Linked DNA regions of Cricetulus griseus. The protein of the gene in region 6 interacts with the protein of the main gene of each other region in a pairwise test. Links are inferred from orthologs where the notes say so. Each region holds a gene or a part of one and is shown on either strand. Other genes may lie near its edges. The genes, in order: Csnk2a2, Meox2, protein FRA10AC1 homolog, Ehhadh, Zbtb8a, Trim41 and Gpatch2l.

The links.
Region 1: the proteins of Trim41 (region 6) and Csnk2a2 interact in a two-hybrid assay, tested with the Homo sapiens proteins (3 studies listed by BioGRID and IntAct). The two-hybrid records come from large-scale screens. The link is inferred for Cricetulus griseus from reciprocal best matches to the Homo sapiens genes TRIM41 and CSNK2A2.
Region 2: the proteins of Trim41 (region 6) and Meox2 interact in binary tests that used the Homo sapiens proteins (3 or more experiments, as listed by UniProt). The two-hybrid records come from large-scale screens. The link is inferred for Cricetulus griseus from reciprocal best matches to the Homo sapiens genes TRIM41 and MEOX2.
Region 3: the proteins of Trim41 (region 6) and protein FRA10AC1 homolog interact in binary tests that used the Homo sapiens proteins (3 or more experiments, as listed by UniProt). The two-hybrid records come from large-scale screens. The link is inferred for Cricetulus griseus from reciprocal best matches to the Homo sapiens genes TRIM41 and FRA10AC1.
Region 4: the proteins of Trim41 (region 6) and Ehhadh interact in binary tests that used the Homo sapiens proteins (3 or more experiments, as listed by UniProt). The two-hybrid records come from large-scale screens. The link is inferred for Cricetulus griseus from reciprocal best matches to the Homo sapiens genes TRIM41 and EHHADH.
Region 5: the proteins of Trim41 (region 6) and Zbtb8a interact in binary tests that used the Homo sapiens proteins (3 or more experiments, as listed by UniProt). The two-hybrid records come from large-scale screens. The link is inferred for Cricetulus griseus from reciprocal best matches to the Homo sapiens genes TRIM41 and ZBTB8A.
Region 7: the proteins of Trim41 (region 6) and Gpatch2l interact in binary tests that used the Homo sapiens proteins (3 or more experiments, as listed by UniProt). The two-hybrid records come from large-scale screens. The link is inferred for Cricetulus griseus from reciprocal best matches to the Homo sapiens genes TRIM41 and GPATCH2L.

Annotation. Positions count from the first base shown.
Region 1 is NC_048596.1:171,643,504-171,647,508, reverse strand, and holds part of Csnk2a2 (casein kinase II subunit alpha'), read left to right. Parts: intron 1-1,560; coding exon 1,561-1,644; intron 1,645-2,349; coding exon 2,350-2,460; intron 2,461-2,979; coding exon 2,980-3,081; intron 3,082-3,731; coding exon 3,732-3,832; intron 3,833-4,005.
Region 2 is NC_048598.1:164,534,714-164,538,842, forward strand, and holds the end of Meox2 (homeobox protein MOX-2), read right to left. Parts: intron 996-4,129; coding exon 771-995; downstream 1-770. UniProt on the Homo sapiens protein: Mesodermal transcription factor that plays a key role in somitogenesis and somitogenesis and limb muscle differentiation. Required during limb development for normal appendicular muscle formation and for the normal regulation of myogenic genes.
Region 3 is NC_048596.1:23,571,894-23,575,898, reverse strand, and holds part of protein FRA10AC1 homolog, read right to left. Parts: intron 2,526-4,005; coding exon 2,430-2,525; intron 2,302-2,429; coding exon 2,256-2,301; intron 1-2,255. UniProt on the Homo sapiens protein: May be involved in pre-mRNA splicing.
Region 4 is NC_048597.1:67,141,148-67,145,807, reverse strand, and holds the start of Ehhadh (peroxisomal bifunctional enzyme), read right to left. Parts: upstream 3,179-4,660; 5' UTR 2,620-3,178; coding exon 2,546-2,619; intron 1-2,545. UniProt on the Homo sapiens protein: Peroxisomal trifunctional enzyme possessing 2-enoyl-CoA hydratase, 3-hydroxyacyl-CoA dehydrogenase, and delta 3, delta 2-enoyl-CoA isomerase activities. Catalyzes two of the four reactions of the long chain fatty acids peroxisomal beta-oxidation pathway.
Region 5 is NC_048595.1:23,683,650-23,686,631, reverse strand, and holds the end of Zbtb8a (zinc finger and BTB domain-containing protein 8A), read right to left. Parts: intron 1,844-2,982; coding exon 1,511-1,843; 3' UTR 769-1,510; downstream 1-768. UniProt on the Homo sapiens protein: May be involved in transcriptional regulation.
Region 6 is NC_048600.1:63,465,123-63,469,127, reverse strand, and holds part of Trim41 (E3 ubiquitin-protein ligase TRIM41), read left to right. Parts: intron 1-1,668; coding exon 1,669-1,899; intron 1,900-2,396; coding exon 2,397-2,419; intron 2,420-2,639; coding exon 2,640-2,767; intron 2,768-3,124; coding exon 3,125-3,726; 3' UTR 3,727-4,005.
Region 7 is NC_048598.1:117,537,259-117,541,263, reverse strand, and holds part of Gpatch2l (G patch domain-containing protein 2-like), read left to right. Parts: intron 1-500; coding exon 501-538; intron 539-863; coding exon 864-949; intron 950-4,005.

The DNA.
Region 1 (4,005 bases), on a different chromosome or scaffold from region 6:
GATATGTATGGAAAAGAAGACTTAAGAGCTGTGAGTGTTTGGATGGTGTCAGGGAGTGTATTAGATTTAAAAAAAAAAAAAAAATCTGGATATAGTGAGCATGCCTTCAATCCCAACACTCAGGAGTCTGAGGCAGGATATCAACTTTGAGGTCATCTGTGTGCAGAGAGAGGGCAGCCTGACTGATCTGTGTAACAATCAAAAGGAAAAGGGCTTATTAATTGAGACATTTCTTCAAAGGCAATATAAATATAGAATGATCAATAAACATGTAATGATAATTTGCTTCATCACTAATAAGGAAATACAAATCAGAAACACATGAGATACCACGTTAACGTACCTAAATAGCTGTAATTAAAAAAGGAACAGTGACAGGAAGTGGTGGTGCTTGACTTTAATCCCAGCACGTGAGAGGCAGAGGCAGGTGAGTTCGACGTCAGCCTGGTTTACAGAGCAAGTTCCAGGACAGGCTCCAAAGTTAGACAGAGAAACCCCGTCTCAAGGTGATGGATACCTTTAATCCCAGCACTTAGGAGGAAGAGGCAGGCAGATCTCTGTAAGTCAGAGCCAGCCTGGTCTATAGAGTGAGTTACATAGAGAAACCCAGTCTTGAAAAAACAAAAGAACAGTGCCAAGTGTTGTTGAGAATGTGGAAAGACTGGAACCATTGTGTGTTGGACTTGAGAAAACAGGCAGTTCCTTAGAAATTGTAAAGCTAACATACAACAAGGCACTTCTGCCCCTAAAAAAACTTACACACAGTTTGCATACTCCCAAAAAAATCTTACACATGGTTATTCATTGCAGCATTGTTCTCAACAGCCAGAAGTAGAAACAACCCAAGTCAGTAAACTAGTAAGTTCATAAATGATTCAGTCTCAAAATTAAATAAGCTCAGTGAGAAAGGTGAACAAAGTACTGTAGCATTAGGAATGTCTGGTAGGAAGAAATCTCTAGAACAGATACCCGATCCACCAGTGGCTTCAAGAAGCTTGGCGTGGGCATTATCTCAAACTCCAGGAAACTGTGAAGGTGCTGAAAAGCTCTGAAACATGGTGACTTGGTTATACAGCTGTCAGTTTACTAAAGATCATTGGCTTTTAACACCACAAAGCCTTTTGATTCTATTACAGGAAGTAGTTTTCTCTTTTAGAATAGTAATGATAATTCTTAAATGCTGGCTCAGGTTTTATGTTTACGGAAAATGTAAATGCTTCTTATCTGGAAAACTCATAGCCCACATAGCATAAGTGTGCCTTGTTTTAAGATACGTTAAGGTGTCATTCTTCATGCCCACATGGATTCTGAGGTCCCACACTCTGGCCTCTCATCCCTTCTTTTTAAAGCAACCTTCAGCATGATCATTGACAGCCCCCTTTCCACTGGCTGCCAGCTGTAGTGTCCACGGAGAGCATCTTTTTGTTTCTCTCCTTAAAGGCAGTAAGCTGTCCTTTTTTGAGACTGTTCAAGTTAAAGTGTCACAAATAATAAAAATGTGTTTGCGTTGTGGGTGGTAGAGGGTTTGCTTACTTTTCTCTGTGCTTTCTTACCTACTAGGCTCTGGATTACTGCCACAGCAAGGGAATCATGCACAGGGATGTGAAACCTCACAATGTCATGATAGATCACCAACAAAAAAAGGTACCAATCCAGCCAGGCAGCACCAAATCTTTGCTGAAGGTTTAGGAAAAACCTAAACATTGTCCAATAGCATTGTGGTGTATGTAGACCACACTGATTTCTTAAGTAGACTGCATTACTTTGACTTCTCTAGTCTCCAGGAAGTACACAGAGACCTTGACTTTGGTCACTAGTTTTATTTTGGTTTTAGTGTTCAAAGGGCCTCAGGAAGAAACTACATCAGTGGTCTCTGCTTTGATTCTTCGTGAGCATTAGACCAGTCAGACTAGCCCTAAAAAAAATACACTTGGGTGTTTCCAACTCTGGTTGTCATAGACAGGGTTAGCTTAGTGACCAACTAGAGCAGCACTCTAAGGGTGTGACTTACGTGGTCACACACGTAAGCCCTTCATTAGTGCCTGGAGCTTATGTTAAGAGCTATGAATGGTGGGGGCATGTGTTCCACATGTAAGTAGCATGGAGACCAGAAAAAAATTAAAAAAAAAAAAAAAAAAACAGTATAACTTAAAAGGGAAAAAACTCAGATATATTCCAAGTACTGTGCTCCATAAATGACCTCATCTGCAGTTTCTGAAGTAAACTTTTTCCTGGGTACACTGTGTGTGGCCGAATACCTGTTGTAGAGATGCAGTGTGGCCTCGTCATAGGCAATGGCATCTCAAAGTGCACCTTACCCATTCTGTTGGGTCTTTGTCTTTCTCATAGCTCCGACTGATTGATTGGGGTCTGGCGGAGTTCTATCATCCTGCCCAGGAGTACAATGTTCGAGTGGCCTCGAGGTACTTCAAGGGACCAGAGCTCCTTGTGGACTATCAGGTGAACTTATTAGTGAAGCTGCGCAGAGCTATTTTTATATTTCCTTAGGAATTTTCCTGGTTGCTGTGTGGTCACTTTGGATGCATTCAAAACCCAGTTATTCTACTCTAAAGGTTTTACTCAGCAACATTAAAAAATTAATTATTTTTATGCATGTATGTATATGTGCCACAGCCCATGTGGGAAGGTCGGAAGACAACTTGCAGGTGTTTGTTCTCTCCACCATATTGGTTCTTGTTACTAAACTTAGTTTAGTAGGCTTGACAGCCTTTACCAGCTGAGTCTTTTGGTGGCTTTTTGGGGTGGCGGGGTGCGGTGACTTAGTTACAGAGTAATTGCAGAGAGGCTGAGGATGGAACTTAGTAGTAGATGTTTGCCTAATGTGTATAAGGCTCTCTCAAAAGTCAGAGCTAGAGGTCAGATGTCAAAAGTCAGAGCTAGAGGTCAGATGGATATGAGAAACTTAATCAATGAGTGTCTAACTATCCTTGACTGATGGATCATCCTTCCTGCATTCAGATGTATGATTACAGCTTAGACATGTGGAGCTTGGGCTGCATGTTAGCGAGCATGATATTCCGAAAGGAGCCATTCTTCCATGGGCAGGACAACTATGACCAGGTGAGCAGATTCATCCCTTGCTTGTTTGTCATGAATGTTAGGGAAATAGCCTCTGGGGACTGTGTAAGCTAAAGGATTGTTCAGAATTGTATGAGTGAGCATGAGGGCCCCAAGCATGCCGAGACAGACAATGCTGCCTAGTGAACTTTCAAGATGGGTCTAAGAAGTAAGGCACTTCTTTATCTAACAAAATCACATTATAGTTATTTGATCAGTGTCCCCAAAGATGTTAGCATCTAAGTTATATCAACCCTTTAAAAGCAGTTTAGGGGGCTGGAGAGATGGCTCAGAGGTTAAGAGCACTGACTGATCTTCCAGAGGTCCTGAGTTCAATTTCCAGCAACCACATGGTGGCTCACAACCATCGGTTATGAGATCTGGTGCCCTCTTCTGGCCTGCAGGGATATATGCAGGCTGAACACTATATACATAATAATTTTTTTTTTTTTTTTTAAAGCAGTTTAGAAACTTGCATTCATGTGAGTGTTGTGTTCTTAAGTCTCTGTTTATCCTAGACTCGGGTCTCTGTTAAGTCATTTGGGATTTGAGTGGCATGGGATTTCCTGATTCCCAGGCCTAGCACAGTGTCCACAAAAGCTCACAGAAAGCACTGTGCTTGGTGGTTGGGTCAGTTTTGTTCTGTGTTTCAGCTTGTTCGAATTGCCAAGGTTCTGGGGACAGATGAGCTGTATGGATATCTGAAGAAGTACCACATAGACCTAGATCCACACTTCAATGATATCTTGGGACAGTAAGTAAGAAAGGAGAGGGAGGGAGGGAGAGAAGGAGAAAGGAAAGAAGGAAGCACTTTGCTCTACTTCAGAAGTGGTAAAGTTAGACAACATCCAGTTTCCCTTTTCTAACTTCAATATTGATATTTATTTACTTATTTATTGAATGAACCAGGGTCTCAGTGGCTATGTA
Region 2 (4,129 bases), on a different chromosome or scaffold from region 6:
TTGATAGTAAATGCAACAGAAGATTTGTTTTGTCTGTGGTACAAGAATATGTCCTACCAGACTCTACTTCATTTTATCTATTGAACACAATTAAGCACATACTCATTGTCTCTGACTGACAAAGATGTATAAAAATACAAAAAGCTGGCCATGGTTTTAACGGGAAAGCCTATTTTCATTAGCTATATGAATGCATTTGCTAAAATTAGTGAAGACAGGAAAGTGATTTAGGGGTAGTATATACAGAGTTTGAATACATTTTCTATCCACTTGGTGATTTCAGGCACTGTGGCTGTTCAGGATGAACGATTTCATGGGTTAACTTAATAGCAGTTTAATTTTCAGTGCAAGCAAAAGCAAATACCTGCCCAATGTCACACACATGACCTAGTACAACTTAAAAGTTCCAACCATTTTTATGTTTAACATCTTCACTCTGGAGACATCTTGATTAAAACTTCATATCAAGTTTGCTCTTGGTAGCAATTTAAATTTCTGTGAACGCCAAAGCAAACACTCATCTCCCTCTCTGTCATATATAGAACAAATGTATTTGGAATACGTTAACCTTCTCCAATTTCACTGAGGAAGCATCTTCCATAAGAGGCACTTCGTGTAAACCTATCAATCATGAGAAACAAGACTGGAGATGCCTGCATTTAATTATATTAAACAACACTGCCACAGTCATCTGCCATGTAAACGATGTTTGGGTTAGGCTTGCCATCACAACGGTGCTTTCCTGAGAATGGAGCTGGTCTCTGTATACATCATAAGTGTGCATGCTCCGAGCTGTGGTCACTATCACGACTGTCATCATTTGCTAGTGAGTCCCCTGCCTGCTGGAGGGTGGCTGCACCAATCCCCGACAGCTCTGATGGGAGAAGTGTTCCCTTTTTCACATTCACCAGTTCCTTTTCCCGAGCTGCAGCTCCTTGCTGTCCTCCTTTGACCCGCTTCCACTTCATTCTCCTGTTCTGGAACCACACTTTCACCTGGAAGGAAAGGGAATAAATAAGTCAAAGAAGGTAATGAAACCTAGATCCCCAAGGGCCTGCACACAGATGTCATGATTACGGAAACCATTCAGCCTTGCACTGAATCAGGTTGCATGTGCATGAAAATCGAAAATGTTTAGACAGTCCCGACAGAATCTTCATTAATTCTAACAAATGAAAATAGATAGAAAGAGGTGGAGAAGCTTGTTTGCAAGCACTAGGCTGAAGTTTATGAATGAATGAACACATTATATTCATTATATTCATCTCTGCAATTTTGTTTACATATACGAATATATATCACGACCCTATGTTTCTCCATGCTCTGAAGTTCTTCTTTGACTTGGCCATAGAGTTCATGCTGGTTTATTTGGTGACAAATCTGTCCCTGAAAGGGTGCTATTCATTACAAATACCCTCTGACTTGTGATGGCAATAATCTCAGCAAACACATTCCCATCAACGGAAAAATTATAATTCACCTCACTAAAAGTCCAGATGCTTTTTGATTTTTAATTAATTTTCATTTAAATTGAAAACAGCCTTATTTTACATACCAACCTCAGTTCTTCCTCCTGTCTTCCCATTGCAACCCACCAACCTTCCATCAACTCTTCAGGGAGGATGAAGCCTCCCATGGGGGACCATAAAAGTCTGTCCTATCATTTGGGACAGGACGTAGGCCCTCCGCTGTATATCTAGGCTGAGAAAGTACCGCTCCATAGAGAATGGGCTCCCCCAAACCATTCATTCACTAGGCATAAATACTGGTTCCACTTCAAGAAGCCCCATAGACTGCCCCACACACACCCACGTTCGGGGACCTGCTTAGGTTCAGACTTGGGTTCATGAGTTCCCATTTGCTCAGGTCAGCTGTTTCTGTGGGTTTCCCCAGCATGGTCTTGACCCATTTTCTCATCACTCCTCCCTCTGTACAACTGGATTCCAGGAGTTCAGCTCAGTGCTTAGCAGTGAATCTTTGCTTCTGTTTCCATCAGTTCCTGGATGAAGGCTGCATTTAGTCATCAATCTCATTATAGGGAAAGGGCATTTAAGGTAGCCTCTCCACTATTCCTTAAATTCTTAGTTTGGGTCATCCTTCTGGATCCCTGGAGTTTTCCCTAGTGCCAGACATCCCATTAAGCCCATAATGGCTCCCTCTATTAAGGTATCTCTTTCCTTGCTGTCCTTCTCTGTTCTTCTCCCAACTTGGCCTTGCTGAATTCCACATCTGACAGAGGGCTATTCTACAAAATATACAAAGAAATCAAGAAACTAGCCACCAAAACACCAAATATTCCAATTAAAAATGGGATCCAGATCCAAATAGAGAATTATTAATAGAGGAATGTCAAATGCCCAAAAGGCACTTAAGAAATTGCTCAACATCCTTAGCCATCAGGAAAATGCAAATCAAAACAACTCTGAGATACCTGTCAGAGTCTGTCAGAATGGTTAAATCAAAAACTCCAAGGACAGTTTACCCTGGAGAAGATGTGGAGAAATGGGAACACTCTTCCATTGCTGGTCGGAATGCAAACTTGTACAGCCACATTGGAAATCGGAATGATTGTTTCTCAGGAATATGGGAATCAGTCTACCTCAAGATCCAGCAATTTCTCTCTTAGGCATATATACAAAGGATGCACATTCATATCACAAGGACATCTGTTCAACTATGTTCATAGCAGCATTATTTCTAATAGCCAGAATCTGGAATCAACTTAGATGCCCCTCAACCAAAGAATGGATAACAAAAATGTGGTGCATTTTCACAATGGAGTACTGCTTAGTGGAAAACAAAACAATACAATGAAATCTTGAAATGGATGGAACTAGAAGAAACCATCCTGAGTGAGGTTACCCAGACACAGAAAGACAAACATGGTATTTACTCACTCATAAGTGTGTATTAGACACAAAGCAAAAGATAACCAGCTTACAATCCACAACCCCAGAGAAGCTGGGAAACACAGAAGACCCTAAGAGAGACATACATGATCCCTGGAGAAGGGGAAAGGGACAAGATCTCCTGAGTAAATTGGGAACATGAGGGTGGGAGGACGGAGATAAGAAAAAGGAGGGAGAAGGGGAGGGAGAGGAGAACATGAGTGATCAGGAAGGCTTCTTATTTTATGGAATAATGCCACAATAAAGTTTGAATGAAGAAAAGTTTCAAGCCTACTTTTGTCAAGTTGGGGACTGTCTGTGGGCATAATTGCTGTGCACTTGCTCTCTCAGTGTTCTACAGGAAGCTGATTTTCCTTACTTGCCCCCTTTGTGCTCTTGCCTTTATTAACTTCTAATTTGTAAACACCATCTAACAGTGGATGCAAGATTCGGGCACAATAAAAGTTCTCAGCATTTACCCTGTGACTTCCCTGGGTGGACGATGACCCTTCATGGAAAGGCTGAAGCAAATGTGATGATGATTCTCAGTACAATGATAGAAAGCTCCCCTAGGTTAGTTTCCTCGTTGGCTCAGTCATGATTTCATGCTGATTAACATATTCACCAAGGTTTAGATTTGTTTGTATTATTTTTCCTAATAAATGACTACTGATTGTGCTTTTATTTTGCCTTTTAAAAAATAATCTTTGCTACAGTAAACTATCATGCTTATTATCCCTTTGCTTCTTTTGTTAGGTATTTTTTCCTCATTTGCATCCAATTACTTTATAGTTCTTTTGCATAAATAGACCATCCACTTCCCATGACTCCCTTTTTCCTGTGTTATAACTCATGGTAAGCATTATGACTTCACCAACTACCTACACCTTTGTCAAAAATATATTTCATATCTGACAGAAAAATACCTTACTCTTATTTATCAAAACTATTTTGAACATTTGTCACATTCTGAATTTATACTAATACACAGTGCTCAGGGGAAATCATGAGATGTGTGTTCAGCTTTCAAAGATGTTTGAATATTACACACTGAAGCTAGTGGCCTGTTTTCAAACATTTGCACAGTGAATTATTAGATATATCTTATCTCTAGACTTTCATTTGTGTCACTTTAAGTAACCATGGAAATCATCATATATCATATATTGTACATGCACATATTTATCTATTTAAGAATACAGAATCACGCCGGCCATTGGTGGCACATGCCTTTAATCCCA
Region 3 (4,005 bases), on a different chromosome or scaffold from region 6:
TTGCTTTCTACTGAAAACATTTCAAGTATGTATCACTTGTAATGTTTGGAATCTTCATGCATACATTATTATTGTGATAAAAAATACATAACCATCGGGGGAAAGGGAGCTTTCTGTTCTGTTCCTAGATTATACTCAACCTCCTTCTCTCATTCAGTCTAATATTATTACAAATAAAGAAATTGTGGCATCTAAATTAAAGGTTAAAAAGTAGAATTTATCACTTATTATTACAAAATATAATAATTAATGATAAGGTATATAAAAATAGTATATAATGTTTATAAAATTAAGCCCCAACAACATTGAGGTTTCAAAAAGCAAACAAGAAATCAGAAGGGCAGGCATAGTGGCTTACACCTATAATACCAGCATTCAGGAGGCTGAGGCAAGACGAGCAACAAGAGTTCTTGGCCACCCTGGGCCACAGAGTCAGGCAGTGCCTTGAAAAGAGAAGAACAGAAATGAAATAAATAAACTAAGGACGTTTTCAACTTTAATATTCAAAGAAAACACAAGCCATGTATATTTTCCATGCATTGTAACAAGACATGAATATTTAATGTTCAGTTTTTAAAACCTTGGTAGTAGTCTCCACACTCAAACACATGCAGTCTGAGCTGTCTCAACTTCTGTGACCACTTTCTTAAGAAACAGTGATTTCACTGATCAGATTGTAGTCTAAGAGACAATCAGAACATGAAATTGAGATGGGGGAGTCCAAATATCTCAAGGCCTGGGTTCAAACTCTTCAACTACCACTAACTGGGCATGCTATTAGAGCAGCTAATTTTCCCCTAAGGATCTAGGTGACAAGTTCTTCAGGCTTTTCAGTTTCATGTCTCTGCTGTTACTGCTGAGCTCTACTAGTATAACATGAAGCAGTCAAAAGCAGCAGGCAGGGTTGCGTTCAACACAACTTCTTCTAGGGCAAAAACACGTCAGTGGGAGACAAGCAAAGGCACACTTCTCCCTATTCCTTATGCTAACAACTCCAACTTTAGGCATTATATCTAAAAACAAATACAAGCTTGTGAAAGGTGGTGACTGAAAGACACACCAGGAACTGTCCTTATGCTGAACTATATTCCCCAAGCTTTCTTTCTGCCTCATCTATCCCAGATTTAGAAGTGAGGCTAGCAACTTGAAAACACTAATAAGCATGCACTGAAACAATTACAACAGCAGCGTGCTCTCCCTAACAACCTGTTCGCCCTCACCAACAGCCAACTCTCCCTAACAGCACCCTGCTCTGCCTAACAACAGCCCACTCTCCCTCACCTTTAAAAGGCTAAGAGTCATTCTAGGACGATCATTAACTGTTTTTGTTGTTGTTTGTTTGAGACAGGGTCCCACCATGTAACCCTGGTTGGCTTGGAGCTTGCTATGTAGACCATGCTGGCCTCAACCATGCGGGCCTCAAATCCAGAGATCTGCCTGCCTCTGACTCCTAAATGCTGGGATTGAAGGTGTGTGTTACCACACCCAGCAAGACCACTAACTTTTAACATAATTACTCCTCTGTAGCAAAACATCCCAGAAAAAAACACTGGGGTCCTCTGCCATCCATGCCAGAAAAATAGGACCTATACTTTTGTTCTCCTAACGCCCTCAATGAAGGTGTCAGAGAAGAGAGAACATATGTTTAAGCCAAGCTTCCAATGGCCTGGGAGAGGACACACAGAAACACCTCAGCTTGGCCTCTCCAATTCTCTAATATCGACACAACAGTGTGATGTCAGTGTAGCAGTGCCATGAGCCAGTCTGACTGACTCACAGACCAGACAGTCTCCAGTCACACCTGAGGAACAGAGTGACAGCAGGCCTAGGATGGCACTCAGGCAGATTTAATTTTAAAAGAGAAGCTTTGCAGAAAATTTAAAATAGTGAAGAACCAGGTGTGAAGTGAATAAATTAAAATGATATTACAGAAGACAGGAACAGAAAAGGGAAATTTTGAAAGCCTGACAAGAACAGCCTGGAACATCTCCAAGTTCATGAACTTTTTAAGTCTATTTATAGGGAAAAAAAAAGAAACCTACTATTTTTCATTATTTTACCTCTAAATTTTTCCTATATATTAGCAATAGAGAATTATAGCTGAAAATCTAAATGGTAATAATACTAGCCTGTAAATATAAAACTGGTCTATCTAACTTGACAAGATTTTGATTTTTAAAAATTAGAAAACACGGTTAACAAGCAGATTTTGAAATAGTCTATCAGTTATAAAGACAGGACTATAAAAAGGATACAGCATCCATAGCTATGAGATGAAACCTTCTATTTCTCGCTTCTTCCCTGTTAAAAAAAAAAAAAGTTAACGTAAATTCAAATATCCAATGTTTTGCCAACATAATCAGATCCACTTGTCCTGAGATTATAAAACAGCTTAAACCAAGGAATGTCCTAACACCGAAACACCACACCTGTCCAGCAGGTCTGCCGCAACTTGCTTATGGACCACCTTTCCATGTTTTTCTTTTTGAAATGGTTTTGTAAGCAGCAACTCATCTTCGACTGTCCTAGTGTATTAAAAAGAAAAATTAAGTGTTAATTTTTCACATGCCCAGGATTGCTTAGAAGCATTCTACGAGTGACCTGCATTTCAGCTGTGACAGTTTGAAGGTGAAAGTTTCCTGTGACTACACCTGAACACTTGGCCCCACGGGTAAGCTGCTTCAGGATGGTGGAGCCTTGCTGGGAAGTGGATCACTGCAGATGGATTGAGGTTTTATAACCTGGGCCTCACTCATAGCTGCTCTTGGTTTCCTGAACACAGACTCATGTCCAGCTACTGCATGCTTCTGCCTCCAGGTGTTTCCCCTCCCTGACTGTACCTCTTTGTGACCCCAACTCCAGGTGTTTCCCCTCCCTGACTGTACCCCTTCATGCCCCGGACTCCAGGTGTTTCCCTTCCCCGACTGTAGCCCCGTGCAGTTGTTTCTTGTGAGGTACTGGTTCACAAGAAAAGTAACTTAACACCTCAGCTCAAAGAATTAGAGACTTAACTTTAAAAGACTAGCTGATCTTTAACGAGACATTCTGAATCTTAATTCTATTTAATACTTATAAAATGGAAAAGACAAAACAAAATGGCCGGTTCTAACCAGCAGGTTCTTGTCTCAATCATTTACCACCCTAATCTTATTATTAGGTTACTTATCTGTAAAATAGGAATAATGAAGATTTAACAAAAAAAAATATGGAAAAGAAAGTTTGACTATAAGGGAGACTTACCACAAATGATCAACCCTATTGATGATGTAGATAAACTGAACCCTAGACCATAGTACCGAAGTAAATTTGCTCAAATTCTATTCTTGGGGACTGTACTTGGGACTTCATGTAGCCTAGGCACTCATTCTACCAACTTAATTACATTCTCAGATCAGGAAGTAATGTTTTTAATGAAACTCTAGAAAACATACATTGTTATATTAATTTATAATTATTACTATTCTTTTTGTTATTCATGAAGACTGATCTCATAATGTTCAGTCCTAGTTAGTAAACATATTAGTCTTACTGTGGAATAATACACCAATTTCTCTAAGTTCCATTAGTACGAATCAAGCACTCCGACGTTAACACTTATGAAGTTTCTAAGCACTGAAACCTAAGATCAATGCCCCTCCCTAAACACAGCAACTTGGTGAAAATATAGCCTTCAGCTGGACAGGTAGCTCATACCTGGAATCGAAGCACTTGGGAAGCTAAGATAAGGAGATTGAGTTTAGGATAGCCTGGGCCATATAGGGAATTCCATGCCAGCTCAACTACATATGAAACCATCTCAGAAAACAAAAATGACAACAAAAGAATATGTCTTCCTTGTGACACCCAGGCTTTTGTGCTAGAAGATCTTGGTCCCTCAATTCAATAAAACTTCCCATCAGTTCCCTCCATTGACCTTCTTATTCAAGTAAACATCACCACTGTTCTAAATTACAATTCACCCTCCACATGGACCTCGCTTGGAAGGCAAGCACTTGCAAGTAAACT
Region 4 (4,660 bases), on a different chromosome or scaffold from region 6:
CATCTTCAAATTTTATATACTTAATTCAAATTTAAGGGTTTTTTTTCACTAGGTAGCTTATAGTAGTAAAAAATCTTGAAAACCATCACTCTGTGAGACAAGCTCAATAATCAGCCATGCTCTGTGGTTAGGAAGAAACTTTAGTTTCCCAGAATGGAGGGATACATGGCTGCCTACTCCAGCAACAAGGGATTTTAATTAATTGTCAAAAAAGAGAATTAGACAAGTTACCATACCTCATTCATGTAGAAAGAGATAACTTCTTATGTAAAATTAGAAAGAAAGAAGGAAAGGAGGGAGGACAAAAAAATTAAGGTCCAAAAAAAAAAAAAAAAAAGGAAGCTGTTAAGTTGGTAAACAATTTACGTGCCGTTAAATTTCAAAGTAAAACAGATGGGAATGTGCAGGGTCCAAGATGAAAAATCTCCACGAGGCTGAAGCAGATGTTGAGAAAGGGGGCCACGATAGGAGACTGATCACAGGCTGCTCAGAGATACCAGGAGAACCACAAGTGTAAAAGTCATTTACAATCTCCATTTCATTTAACCCATGGGACTTTTTATGTTAGGTACTTACATTTCTCCAGATTGGGGAGGGAATGAGCAGGTTAAACACTAGAAACGTATCTGACTGTGGACCTGAGATTGGGACATTCCCTCTCACCTCTTGATGGACATAGACATCCCTGCAGAATCTTCTATCTAGTAACCATATCAGTATGCAAACACCCCATGTGGATAAGGAATCATATTGCTTATGCTTTCTTCGTGAAAACACACGCGGCACCTACTTCCTGGTCTCTGGGCTGAGATCAACTGTGAAATGGACATAATCAGTATTTTACTTCCACCCCCCCCCCAAATGGCCAGCAAGTGGATACATATGTGTGTGGTTTTATTCCTGCATACTATTACTCTATCAATACATACTGCATTTGTATTAGTGAATGCAATCCTTCACATTAAAATAAGGATAGTATCAAACCAGGTTAGTAGCACACATCTTTAATCACAATACTTGGTAGGCAGAGGCAGGTGGATCTCTGTGAGTTCGAGGCCCACCTAGTTCACTGATCAGACAGGTCTACACAGTAAGATCCTGTCTCAAAAGAAATTACATTAATAATAAGGATAAAAATTTGACCTCCGTGGGCACTAGGCACGCATGCAGTTCACAGACATATGTGCAGGTAAAACACCCATACACATAAAATAAAATAAATTTTAAAAAAATTTAATATAAAACCTAATGGCAGTGTGGTTTAAAATGAACATGTCTCCTCCTTTCTGTTTTTTGTTTGTTTGTTTTGTTTTTGAGACCAATGTTTCCTCCTGCCTCAGGCTCCTGAATGCTGCGATTACAGGTGTGTGCCAACCCAGCATCTGTTTGTTTTGCTCCAGCAGCTTGTGATGGGAATTTTCACCAAATGACCTATTTTCACTTTATTTATTCTGCTTTTACACAGCTATTTTTCTGGGATTGAAGCATTCCTTCCTGAAGGAGGAGAAAGGCTAAGGTTCAGGAAACTGAAGAAACTGACAAGATTCTGGAAGCTAAATAAATTTACCGATGTTTAAGATGCCCAGGAAGCTCAGAGAGTTGCAAGATTCACACACACCCCACACCGCCCCAACCCCTCACTTCCGAAGTTACAGGAGCAGAAGCAACTGTGGGGGGGAGAGAGGGGGGGGGGGGCGGGAGGGCGTCTGTGCAGTGGAGCTCCCCTCCAGGTCTCTGGGAAGGGCTACAGGTAGGAAGGATTAGGGGAGGAGACTCCAGCACAGTCAAACGGAACTCGTCGTCTTTGCCAGGGAGGATTGCTTTCTAGTGTGGCTGCCCTAAGGCCACCCATGCTTCTGCTCCTAGCTCCCCCCTCACTGTTCTGAAAGTTGGCCGAATAAACCCATTGGTTCCCCCCAGAGTGAACTTGTCTGGAATTGCTTCTAGGGTTGTCCTTTGGGCTGTAGGAGGTCTCCCCCAGGAAAGGGATTTTAGCAACATCTCAGGTAAATGTTGCACACTATCGGTCATGATCCCGTCCACCACTTCGGCAGTCTGCGTACGGGTAATTCCTCCTGAGGCTAATAGAGAATTATACTCTGTTCGCCAGTGATATGGAATGAACAAGATAAGTCAACTTGTTCATTTTCCAAAAAGACAACAGATCTCACTTTTAAAAGCAATGTGCTAAGGGCATTGCACCCAGGGCATGGCCAATGAAGTAAACAAAACTTCAGCTTTTCAGAAAATGCTATGCAGCAGCCTCCTCTGACAGGGAGCTTGGAGCTTGGAGACCCACTCTCTGAGTCGGGTAACTATAGCTTTGGGCTTCACACAGAGAAGCTAGGGTTGCTAGCCCGAAGTAGGGTTGCAGAAAGCCACGCCTCTGTAGGTTCCTGAACCACTAGAACCAAGCAGACTTGAGCGAGCTGTGAGGTTGACAGCGGACATAAGGAAGGCCGGAGCCAGCTGCTCATTGGCAGGTCCTTCTAGGGAGGAGAGCCCCGACCCAGACCCGCCACACCCCCTGACCCGGTGCTGTTACCTGATGGCGTTAACCGGAGGGTTGCAGAGGCGGATCATCGCCAGGGAGTGAGGCAGCCTGAGATACTCAGCCATTTTCTCAAGGTATCCTGCACCTCTGATGTCTGGGACAGCCGGGAGTTCTTTTCTGGGCCGCTCCGAGAGGAGGGGCACGCGCTGGACCAATGGGAGTCGCCGCCACCGCCTCCTGCCCCTTGCACCACATGCTCCCCAATGCTGGCTGCGCTCCAGGGAAGGGTAGTCCTCCTAGGCTAGCAGACAGAATGTCGAAAGGCATGCTGAGCTGCTGGGTCTCACAACTGGAGTCAAACACGTGTTCCGAAACCAATCATCTGCCCCGGCACGAAGCCCCGAGTGCCCGGTCTGCCTGTTCCTCTCTGGTTCTGTCCCCGTCTAAGGGCTGGGATTTCTCATACTTCATCCATGAACTGCACACCTATTATGAGCTGGACGTAGGCTGGATACTGACAATAAGCCATGCCTTGTTTCTTCCCTCTCAAAGCTCAGCCTGGACAGGGTCCTTCCGATGTGCATGTTTTTCATGGTTGCCAAAGCCCACCAAGTAGCCAGAAGACAGTGTACAGGTGGACAAGAAACACACACACACACACACACACACACACACACACACACGCACGCACGCACGCACGCACGCACACACACACACACACATACACACACACACACACGTAAATCTTCACTGATGTTTCCCAAGTTTTAACAAGGTCGAAAGATTATTTCCAGACATGTTCTTTACTTCTTGAAATTAAGAAAGGGTTTAGTTAGTAGAAAAATCCTGAGTGCCCTGGAAGCCCTGGTAACAAGTTGCGTTCAGAGGCATGGGAGCCCCCACATGTCAAGGACAGCCCATCACCCAAAGCACTCCTTCAGGTGTCAGCGATGACAACAGCCTCATGGGAGCAAGCGGCTTCAGACAAACGTCGGGAATCTCTATCTACTACCTCTCAAACCATGCCTAATCTGTAGACTAACTAGTCCCCAAACTCTCCTAGTGTGTTCTGTTGGAGAGAGTCTGCATGGCCAGCCCAGTTCTCCCCGCCTACAGGAGCAGTAGCTTCAGCTTTGTCCCCCTTCAGATGCTGGTAACTAGGAGAACACACTCGGCCACAGTATCCTAGGAACTTGAACAGGTAGAGTTCAAGGTTTAATAGCACTGACTGGCCTTATTGCACCCCTCCGCCTTGGAGCAGGGGAAGATAAGCATATTTGGAGCCAGCTTGTGACACTTTGTCCTCTTCATCTTGTAGGAATCAGTCACTGGCCATCGTGTCTCTACATTTTTTATTTTAGTTGAGCCCAGAGCTTTCTGCTGTGGCTCCCACAGTGGGATCTGGGTGTAAGCTTCTATGTAAATCTAATATACTGCTTGGGTGTTTAGAGTTGGCGACTCAACAGGGACAGGACCTATGTGAGGCAAGTGAGACCTTCAAGGGACAAAGTTCAAAGGGCAGTTACTATCAGGTTCACCCAGTGCTATGCCTCAACAACAGGATCACCCACAGTCCTATCAATTAGTCCCTTTGTAAATGTAGCACATTGAGAGACCATCGGATACAGCTGGGTGGTAGCATGTTGATTTTTCTTTTCCTGCTAGTACAAAACTGTATGCATGGGTTCCATATTTGCTGAGTCCATGGATGTGTAATTTGCTAGTCCATGGATGAGTAACTGTGTTGCTGTTTGAAGACTGCTTGACTATTTGATAGTCTTTTGATTATTGGTTTGATCTGCCATATCCTATTATTTTACTTGTCTTATGAAGTGCTTGGCTACTTCACAGGATCTCATTCCTCTTGGGTAAGCACTGCACACTATCTGCATGTCGCCCTCTGCTTAAGTACATTGCTTTCACTGTAGCAACTACATTATCTTGAGTCCCCAGTTCCCGAACTCATCTCAGGTTCATTACTGCTTCAAAGAAATCATTCTAAGCACTGGAACTGCTACAGTGCCCAGAGGGTAAATGGTGAGCCCTATAGAAAATCCTGGACTTTTACCTGCTGGCCCATGCAGGTCTCTATCCATGGGAAAAACACAGGTGGCTTCTTCTCCCCATCTCAATCTGTCAGGCAAAGAATCCAATTAAGTCTCATTG
Region 5 (2,982 bases), on a different chromosome or scaffold from region 6:
CACTGAACTGGAGTTAGCAATCCAGGTCCTCTGAAAGAGCAGCTAGTGTTCTTGTGTTCAGATCTTTCCAGACACACAAGAATAATTTTTTTTTTTTTTGCTTTTCAACACAGGGTTTCCCTATAGCCCTGGTTGTCCTGGAACTTGCTCTGTGGACCAGGCTACCCTTGAACTCACAGAGATCTGCCTGTCTCTGCCTCCTGAGTGCTGGGATTATGAGACAGGGTTTCTCTGTGTAGCCATGGCTGTCTTATAAGTCAATTTGTAGTTCAGGGGAAAAAATTTTTAACTTTTATGTTTTACCTGCATGTATGTTTATACACCACTTGAGTGCCTGATGCCCACGTATCAGAAATAGGTGTTAAGACTCCCTGGAACTGGAGCTACAGATGGTTGTGAGATGCCATGTGGGTGCTGGGACTCAAATATGTGTCCTCTAAAGAGACAGTACTCTTAACTGCTGAGCCATCTCTAAAAGCCCCTGGACTTGAATTTTTTTTTTTTTCCCCCGAGATAGGGTTTCTCTGTGTAGCTTTGGAGCCTATCCTGGCTCTCACTCTGTAGACCAGGCTGGCCTCGAACTCATAGAGATCCGTCTGCCTCTGCCTCCCGAGTGCTAGGACTAAAGGCGTGCCCCACCAACATCCAGCTGGACTTGAAAAAAAATTTTTTTTATAAATACATATTCAGGATTTCTTTTCTTTTTTTTAAAGACTTTATTTATTATGTATACAACATTCTGCTTCCATGTATATCTGCACACCAGAAGAGGGCACCAGATCTTATAACGGATGGTTGTGAGCCACCATGTGGTCGCTGAGAATTGAACTCAGGACCTCTGGAAGAGCAGTCAGTGCTCTTAACCTCTGAGCCATCTCTCCAGCCCCTGGACTTGAAATTTTTAATACATTTGCTGGGGCCTGCAATTGGGTAGCCAGACTCCCAAATTCAGTCTTGCCTGATTCCCTGTGAGGTTTAGTATTATAACATACATGCTTTTAAAATACATTAACATTTTGTAGGCAGGTTTATTGGTGGGTGAAGGTAAGGGGCCCTGCCACCAAGAATTCCATCCCACATGGTAGGATTTTCTTCTGGCTTCCTTCCAAACACAGGCTCCCCTCCTCCCCAAAACAAAATGAATCAATAAAAATATAATAGAAAAGATTGTCTTAAAGTTTTGTGATAGATTAATTTAAAATATTTTACTCAAAAATGTTTGCTAAATAGATTTTTCCAATATTTAAACAAAATGCCATCTGTGTAATAACAGAAAGGGTAACTGATCATCCATCATGCCAATACAAGCAAGGTCTTCCCAGAGCAGCAACATAGTTCAGGGCAACCAAGTTCAGAGTGGATACAATGGCCTATTCAAAAAGCATGCAAGTTACACCAGGTCACTTCTAAGCCAGCCGGAGAAATCCATTAACCGGGCTCTGCCCATGGAGAGATACAGGACGTCCATGTAAACTGCAGGCAGGCCAGCTCTGAGGAGTCGCACTTCAGGCTACCTAATGTTGGGTTTGATTTCCTTCTCCTCTTCTTCCTCACTATCTTCAACCTGTTTTATGACCAGATCGGCAGACCCGTCCTCCACAATCTCCACGTAGGATCTATTCTCTTCCTCACTCAGATGCCACCTCGAATCCTTATCTCCATCTGCGGGGGACATGCAGTGTTGCTCAGCTTCCAGATCAACAGGGAGGCTGTCGATGCCAGCTTCAGCAAGGCACTCGTTACACAGTCTGTAGCGCCTGGTTCCTTCCTGCACCACCTGGCCTGTGAGGTCAGTCACGTGACGTTTGCATTTCCTGCAGATTAGTTTGCATGCCTGATGGATCTGTATAGAGATTTAAGAAGTGATTAAAATAAGTTTTCAGCTGGGCATTTCATTGGTGGCGCACGCCTTTAATCCCAGCACTCGGGAGGCAGAGGCAGGCGGATCTCTGTGAGTTCGAGGCCAGCCTGGTCTACAAGAACTAGTTCCAGGACAGCCTCCAAAGCCATAGAGAAACCCTGTCTTGAAAAAACAATAAATAAATAAGTAAATAAAATTTTCAAAAGTGTGTCAAGTTTGCTATTTTAGGGACCAGTTCATATTCTTCAGATGCTCAAAGCCATACATTAAATTCAAGTTAAGATCTAATTATCAGAAAAGATCCCAAGATATTGACAAATGCACACCATGGACACATCACATATCAGCTTTCTCTAAAAATGACTATAAGGTTTTTCTTTAAATTATTTTATTATATATACAGTGTTCTGTCTGCATGTGTTCCTGCAGGCCAGAAGAGGGCCCCAGATCTCATTGCAGATGGTTGTGAGCCACAAAGTTAGATGGAGGCTGGATAGATGGCTCAGCAGTTAAAAACACTGGCTGCTCTTCCAGAGACCTGGGGTCAATTCTCAGTATCTACATGGTATCTACTCATAACCATTTAAAAGTTCAGTTTCAGGAGACCCAGTACCCTCTCTGGCTTCTGAGGGCATCAGGCATAAGTATGCAATATGCAGACAAAACACTCATACACATAAAAATTAAAAAAGAAAAGCTTTTTAAAAGATTTATTTTTTAAAAAAAAAAGAGGACTGGAGAGATTGGCTCAGTGGTTAAGAACACACATTGTCTTTCCAAAGAACCTGAGCTCAGTTCCCAGCACCCACACTGGGCAACTCACAGCTGCCTTTGTAACTCTAGCTCTAGCTGTAGCTCTAGCTCTAGAGAGAGGGAGAGAGGGAGAGGAGAGGGAGAGAGAGAGGAGAGGGAGAGCTAAAACTAAGTTTTTAAAAAAGCTTTATTATGTATGCAGTTGTATACAGTGTTCTGCCTGCACGTATGCCTGCGTGCCAGAAGAGGGCAACAGATCTCAATATAGATGGTTGGGAGTACGGTTCCAGCATCCCAACAAAGTGAACAATGTGTGGTCATGGACAACCAGTCCTCCAATTAGTAAGTGCTTCCCAGTGTGACATGTG
Region 6 (4,005 bases):
ACATTTAAAGTATATGGGAGGATATGCAGTTATTATGCCATTTTTTTTTTTTTATTATGCCATTTTATATAAGGGATTTCCACATCTGCTGATTTGGGTCTCCTGAAACAAACCCACTTGAATATCTAGAAACAACTGTACCTACAAAGCATTTTACCTTTTGGCCCCTAAGTGTATAATACTTGCTGTTTGCACCTTTACTGAAGAGTTTGTAAAGGGTGTGAATGACTTCTCCTATGGCAGCTGAGACTACTGAGAGTCAGGATTTAATTTTGTAGCATCTTCCTTTCATGTTTTGAGACAGGATATTATATTGTAGCCCAAACTGGCCTCAAATGTGGAATAATTCATTGTTTCAGCCTCAAGAATATTGGTATTATAGGCATGAGCCCTCATGTCCAGCTTTACTTCAAGTCTTGCTTCCTAAATTCTCTTATTTGTTAATTCCAAAAAATTCTTACCAAATACCTATACACTATGGTTGGCACTATGCCGGCCTTTGGTGGCACTGTGGCAAACAAAGGCATGCATAGGTCCTATTTGTGAGAGGTATGGCATAGAAGAGGATAATAAAAAGAAGATAATATTAAGCTAGGCATGCAGCTTATATCTTTTTTTTTTAAGATTTGTTTATTTATTATGTATACAGTGTTCTGTCTGCACATGTGCCTGCACACCAGAAGAGGGCATCAGATCTCATTACAGATGGTTGTGAGCCACCATGTGGTTGCTGGGAATTGAACTTAGGACCTCTGGAAGAGCAGCCAGTGCTCTTAACCACTGAGCCGTCTCTCCAGCCCACAGCTTATATCTTTAAACTAGCAAACTGGAGGTTGATGCCAGAGAATTGTGATTTTTGAGGCCAGCCTGGACTTTTGTCTCAAAAACAAAACAACTTTGCTGGCAAGAGGACTCAGTAAAGGAGTCTGCCATCAAGTTTGATAATGATAACTTGAATTTGATCCCAGTTACTTACGTGGTGGAAGGAGAAAACCAACTCCTGCAAGTTGTCTTCCGACCTCCATACATGTTCCCCCAGCCCATCTCCATTATAACATAGCATCTCCAATACAGTGATATGGAGTTGGTGCTGCACAGATCTGGAGAGAAGCTTCTTTAGAACATGTTAGCTTCCATTTAAAGAGTAAATTAGTTAGGGCAGAGAGAGATAGGTATTCCAGAAAGGAATTGGTGACTTTGGACCAGTGTGCCAGGTTTGCGCTATTGCACTGGCACATAAGACTGAGATGGGGAAGGAAACTTCTCTTTCCATTCTCAGAACTTCTTTGCCTGAGATTGAGAGTTAGCAGATAGAAAACTGCAACTATACCTTTCTGTGTATTCAGGTGGTGGCCTCCATTCCCTTTGCAGCTCTCCATTTGTTAATTTTTAAAATTTTACTGTATGGGTGCTTTCCGTGTGTGTGTGTGTGTGTGTGTGTGTGTGTGTGTGTGTGTGTGTGTATGTATGTATGTATGTATGTATGTATCCATTGCATGATTGGTGATCACAAAGGTCAAAAGAGAGCATCACTTCTCCTGGAACTGGTTACAGATGGTTGTGAGCTGCCACGTGGATGCTGAGAATCAAACTGTGGTCCTCTGGAAGAATAGACAGTACTCGTAATCAGTGAACTATGTCTTCATGCCTGCCTTTGCATCTTTTCAGAGTCAGATGAAGTCAGAACTGGCAGCTGTGGCCTCAGAGTTTGGGCGACTAACACGGTTTCTGGCTGAAGAGCAGGCAGGACTAGAGCGGCGCCTTCGAGAGATGCATGAAGCTCAGTTGGGACGGGCAGGAGCAGCAGCGAACCACCTTGAGGAGCAAGCTGCCCAGCTAAGCCGCCTGCTTGCTGAAGCCCAAGAACGGAGCCAGCAGGGGGGCCTGCGGCTGCTGCAGGTAAGCACTCTTGCCTCTGCCCTGCTTCATACTCCCCAGCTCCCTTTTTGTCCTATTAGGCAGTGCTCACCAGCCACTGCTCAGAACTGTCTGTTCCTCACTGGAAAGAACCCTAATTCTTTTAATCTGAAGATCAAACTTTTTCTTTCTTTCTTTTTTTTTTTTTTAAATATTGAGTATGATGCATGTGCCAGTCATACCTATAGAAGGCAGATTCAGTTGTTAGAAATAGGGGCTTAAGAGTTGATAGCTTGAGGAAGGTGTCTGGGTCAGATTGTGAAAATTCTGTTACTGGGGCTTACCGCAGGATGATATATTAGGTCTGGTGGTCAGGGTAGGTGAAGAGTGTTCATGTTTATTGTGATCCGGGAAGGTGCTGCTTTCTCCCTTCCTGTTGAAGCTCAATCTTTCTTTAGGGGACTGGGAGAGAGCAGTGAGCCTTGTGCAGCTGACACTTTCTCTTTTTCCCTCTCCCCCCTTTTGTCTTTTGTTCCCAGGACATCAAGGAGACTTTCAATAGGTATGTTACCACTCTACCCTTTGTGACCCAGTAGTGTTTGGGTCCCCACTCTTGCCTCTCTTGAGACTCCCTTCCTCCCTCCCTGTCTTCCCACCCTCTCCTTCCCTTCCTCCCAGGACCTAAGTTCCTGCTTCTTAGACCCTCCACTTCACCGCCCCCCCTTGGCTTTTGTTCTGGGAATATCATGTTCCCACCCCCTACCTGGTCCCCCCTCCTCCAGGTGTGAAGAGATACAGTTGCAGCCCCCAGAGATTTGGTCCCCTGACCCATGCCAACCCCATAGCCACGACTTCCTGACAGATGCCATCGTGAGGAAAATGAGCCGAATGTTCTGTCAGGCTGCAAGAGGTAGGGAGGTCAATAACCTTCCTTTGCCTTTCTTCTTACAGACCCGAGTTGAGGTTGAGGGAAGTTTGGGTAGCTGGGATGGAGTAGACTACTGGTGGCTACTCTGAGGGTTCAAGCCAAGAGTTGTTTCTATGGTGGCCCAGCTGTTTTTGGTAGGTGAGGTGCACAAAAAGCGACAGGGGAAGGCTGGCAGGTGGTAGAATTAGGATGAATGTTAGAACCCATAGATCCGGAGCTTGGCCCCCAATATGGGCTGAGAGCTTAAAGAGTTGAATGGGATTGGAGGGGATTATAGAGATGAGCCTGTGAGGGATAAGGTGTTTTAGCTCTGCTATATTCATCTTTCCTCTTTCCAAGTCGATCTGACGCTGGACCCTGACACAGCTCACCCAGCCCTTATGCTGTCCCCTGATCGTCGTGGGGTCCGGCTGGCAGAACGTCGGCAGGAGGTTCCTGAACATTCCAAGCGCTTTTCAGCTGACTGCTGTGTACTAGGGGCCCAAGGCTTCCGTTCTGGCCGGCACTACTGGGAGGTAGAGGTGGGCGGGCGGCGGGGCTGGGCAGTGGGTGCTGCCCGTGAATCAACCCATCATAAAGAAAAAGTGAGCTCTGGGGGGTCCTCTGTTAGCAGTGGGGACGCCAGCTCCTCACGCCATCACCATCGCCGCCGCCGGCTCCACCTGCCTCAGCAGCTTCTGCTCCAGCGGGAAGTGTGGTGTGTGGGTACTCACGGCAAACGATACCAGGCACAGAGCTCAACAGAGCAGACACTGCTGAGCCCATGTGAGAAACCACGGCGATTTGGCGTGTACCTGGACTATGAGGCTGGGCGCCTAGGGTTCTATAATGCGGATACCCTAGCCCACGTCCACACCTTCTCAGCTGCCTTCCTTGGCGAGCGTGTCTTCCCATTCTTTCGGGTGCTTTCCAAGGGCACCCGCATCAAGCTCTGCCCTTGATCAGCCTGCCACCCGCAGGGGCCCCTCCAGTCACTGCTGGGGGGGCGGGTGGTGGTGGATGATTGCCCACTATGTTTGTGAGCTCAGGCTCCTCCCACTGTTTGTTACTGAGTTGCTTTCTGCTCCTCCTTGAACCCAGGCTGCTTCCCCCAATAGGAGCCTAAAACAACTTCTAGACTTCCTCCAGCTCAGTCTTCTCTCACCTACTTTGTCTGACAGGTCTGCATGGGTCCCTGATAATAAGAACAGCTGCCTGATCTTCCCTCCCTGTCTGCCTAG
Region 7 (4,005 bases), on a different chromosome or scaffold from region 6:
GCATCATGGGTTTTAACTATTTTCCTGAAGTTGCTGAGCTATGTGTATTAGCTAAGTTTCTGTTCTTTTAAGTACGTTTGAAGTTACCACTCAAGTTCTTTCAGTCTTAATTCATAAAGTTAACCATTTTTCAAAGGACTGTTTATTGTGGGAAAGTACAAAGAAGGCTAGCAACCATAAAGTGAGGTGCTTTGTACACACTACCCCGTTTGATCCTCAGTTCCTGTTTGGTTCTAGGATGCACTGCCCTCTCACCATCTTAGTCACCTTTTAGGGTCAATAAGTGAGAAACTGAAATCACTTTAGGACCTGAAAAGCAGTATTTGAGTTAGCCCTGCCAGTAACCCTGTTGTAAGACTAGTAGGATGGCCAGTGATACACCCTGGAGAGGAATCTAGTGAAGGTCAGAGGTGATGCAACTTTTAAATGTAAGCAACTCAGTGGTGCATTCAATTAGGCATTCTAACTCTAGGCACCTTCTGTTTACACTGTGCTTATAGTGTGTCCTGGGATGTGCTGTGCAGTTGTCCTTGAAAAGGTAATTTCATGCTAGTCCTCTTGGGAAAAGACTGATACATAGTGGATAATCACTAAGTGTAGGTTCTCAGACTGTCCATTAAGAAATACTGTATTTGGCCATTTAAGTGATTATTGCATGAAAATTTTGCTTGACAAGGAATAGTTTTGTTTGCTATGTGCTGGGAAATTATGGACATAAAGTTAGACATGCACAACTTTATTGAATGATATTGATGTTTATGGCAGAAGGGTTGGACATAGTCAAAGAGAGCATGTAGGCTGCTCTTTGGAATCAGGTCTCTTTCATTTAAGCTATACTGAAATAATCTGATTTATCCCCACAGTTTAATCCTCTCTCTCCTCTTTACTCCCTGGATGTTCTTGCTGATGCTTCTCATCGAAGGTGTTCCCCTGCACACTGCTCTGCCAGGTAATTGGCTCCCAGCGGTGATTATGTTCTTTTGGAAAGTGCTGTGTTCCTTATCATAACACTTGAGATTGTGTGGTATTATGTGCACAGGATCTGATTTGATCCTTAGAACAACCTTTAGAAGTAAGTCCATGTTTCACAGATGTGGTAACAGGCTAAGAGTGGAGGAATTTTTCCTGTGATCACATGGTCGTGTCTTCTGGCTCATATTTTGTATTATTTCTGCGGCTAAAAGCCCATCTTCAAAGAACAGTATTAATGTCCCTTGCCATGACCTGCAAAGCCCTGCATAATCTGATTTCCGCCAACATGGCCAACTTCCTTTCCTACAGTCCTGTCTCTTCTCTGAGCGGAAAGATCTAGCAGTACCAGGGAGCTCCATTTTCTTTTTTCTTCTTTGAAAATGGCAGACCTTTGCTCTCATTCTTGTTGTCTGGAAACCTCTTTGCACCCCTGGATAAGGGGTCATCTACAGCACCATCTGTTTCCTCCATAGGTCTTACCATTGTCTGTAGTGAATATGTGTACTAGTTTATTTAAAATTCCACCTCTACCCTATTGTCTTTCTCTAGAGTGCAGAGACCTTGTCTGATTCCCTAATAAATCTCAGCATGTGCATCTGGCACTTGTTAGGCATTCTGTATGTATATGTCACATTTGTCATTATGGATTCCCTTAATTCAGGTATGGTGTGATGATGGCACTTCTTAGCAGTGTTATTGTGCACAGAACAGCTAACAGTCTGGACCAAAGAACTCTTGTTAGTTTTGGTAGCATGAAGAATTTCTTCTCCAAGGTTCTGATGCTTTTTGTTTGGTTGGTTTTTGTTTTGGTTTTTTGAGACAAGCTCTCACTTTTGCTATGTAGCTCTGACTGTCCTGGAACTATGTAGACTAGGCTGGCCCCAAACTCACAGATCTGCCTGCCTCTGCCTCAGAAGTGGTGGGAGTGAAGGGGGGTTACACTACACCCAGCTTCTGATGCTTTTTTATTAGTCACCTCATAAGTAAATGTGCTCATAGACTTGTGCTTTAGCTGCACAAAGAAGTAGCTGTTCTTTGGGCATAGTTACTAAGAGTTAGGATAATGAGCCCTGTTGCATAACCTACTGCTAGATCTTTCTGCTGAAGAAGTATTTTAAGTCTTTTGAAAAGGAGAGGCCATTGTAAATAGTGTTGCCAAGATGTGGAATTGGGGCTTATACAAACTTCCATTGTAGGCCTTTACTCCTGTATCATACTGTTTATCATTCATCTATCCATTCATTCAGCATTTGCTGACTCTCTACTATGTGCAAAGACCTTTGTTTTTGTTTAGAACTGAAGCGCTCATGAGAAAATCAGATATAGAAACTGATAGCTATGATAAAAACTTGCGCCTGAAAGCCGTAACACACAGAGATGGAGTTCCTAATGCAGACCCATCGGGGGTCTAGATTTCAGTCCATAGAAGAACACCTCTGTGTTTTGTATACTATTTGTAGTAGCTGTTTGTGCTCTTTGGGAAGACCAGATGAGCAGTACCACATAAGTCCAGCATACAGAGTGGATTACTCCATCCTCCTCCTTCCATGTCTGCTACCTGGGCTACACTTAGGATAATAGCATTGGCATTTCTCTCTTCTTCATTAGAAGCCTCTCCCCGACTCTTCTGTGGCCAGTACCCAGAGCTAGATTCATGATACTTTGTGCATCTTGTTACTCTGTCATTATGGTTCCTCTCTTGACTGGTGGCATTTGTGGGTGGCCTTAGAAACATTAAAAATTCTCAGCCAAACTTCTAGTGTGTGCAGCTGTGTTACCGTTGCTTTGAGCTCTTGCTAGAAGCAAAGGAGAGAGAATAGAGGCCATTACCAGTTGTCTTTGTCTTGTCTTTAGGTAGCAGTCCCAGATTAGTAGGCTGGGTGCAGGTTCTTTGAAGTCGGGGCGGGGGTAGTTTGAGTTAACAGTTATTGTCTTATCCTTAAGTTTCTCTGTTTTAAGTTATATAACTCTGTTTGGCTTATACCACATGTGTGTGCATTGTATGTATAGTATCTTCTGCTTCCTTGCAGTTTTCACTTAATGAAGGACACAGGAAGATTTGAAAGGTGCTGTTCTGTAGAATGATTAGAGCAGGTGTCTTTGGTGCAGGTTTCAGAAAATACGAGTGAGAGTCACTGAGTTCTTAGGGATAGCTCTCAACCATTTATAGTGATGGGTCTCCATGCAGCAAGGTGTCATTGGAGCAGGACCTATCTAACTCTAGTTGGGGGACTTGTATGATGGGATTTGGAACCATGCAGAGTCTTTTAAGAAGAGTGGACCATTTAGCAGAAGCCTTGCATCAAGGAGAGGGTGTAAAGGAGCAGAGTGCTGGAGAAGAGGTAGCTGAATGACAGCATTACAAAGTGTTTCCAATGGAGATTTTATCTTTTTCTTGTCCCATTTTATTTGTAGTAAGAAGAAATTCTGTTCAAAGCATCTGGGCAGCACTGGGAATTTTACACCCATCATTAGAACGATTTGTGCGCGTGTGTGGTGACTGTGTTATCATTAGTGGTATAATTTTATTTTGCAAAGAGAGAAGTGTTTCCTGTTTTATCACAGCTTTCCCTGAGGAGGGCTGCTGTATTAATTTGCTGTATTGCCTCCTGGCTGTTCCCAGGCTGTTTTTCCTCTTCATCATGGAATTTTTAATGGCCCTCGTGCCTCCTGGGAAGCATGTGAGGAAGAGTTCCTCAGGGAGTGCTTCCCTTTTTTCACATGCCTATAATTACTCTCCTTTAAGAGCACAAAGAGTCTAATAATCATGCCTGGGCTCTGAAGGTTCCCTCCTGTCAGGGATCTGAGCGGAGCTACTTCCTTGCTGGACACTGCTGTCTGCACTCTGCTCGACTTCAGCATCTGAACATGGCCACCTCAAAAACCACATACAGCTTGGGACTTCAGAGTAAGCTGAGGCCACTGGGGTATGGTGAGTGACCTCAAGTACTGTAGGTTAGCATTTCAATATATGCAAATAAATAATGAGACCTAATTTAAGGTAACACTGTATGAATGTGTCATTTGGCAGGT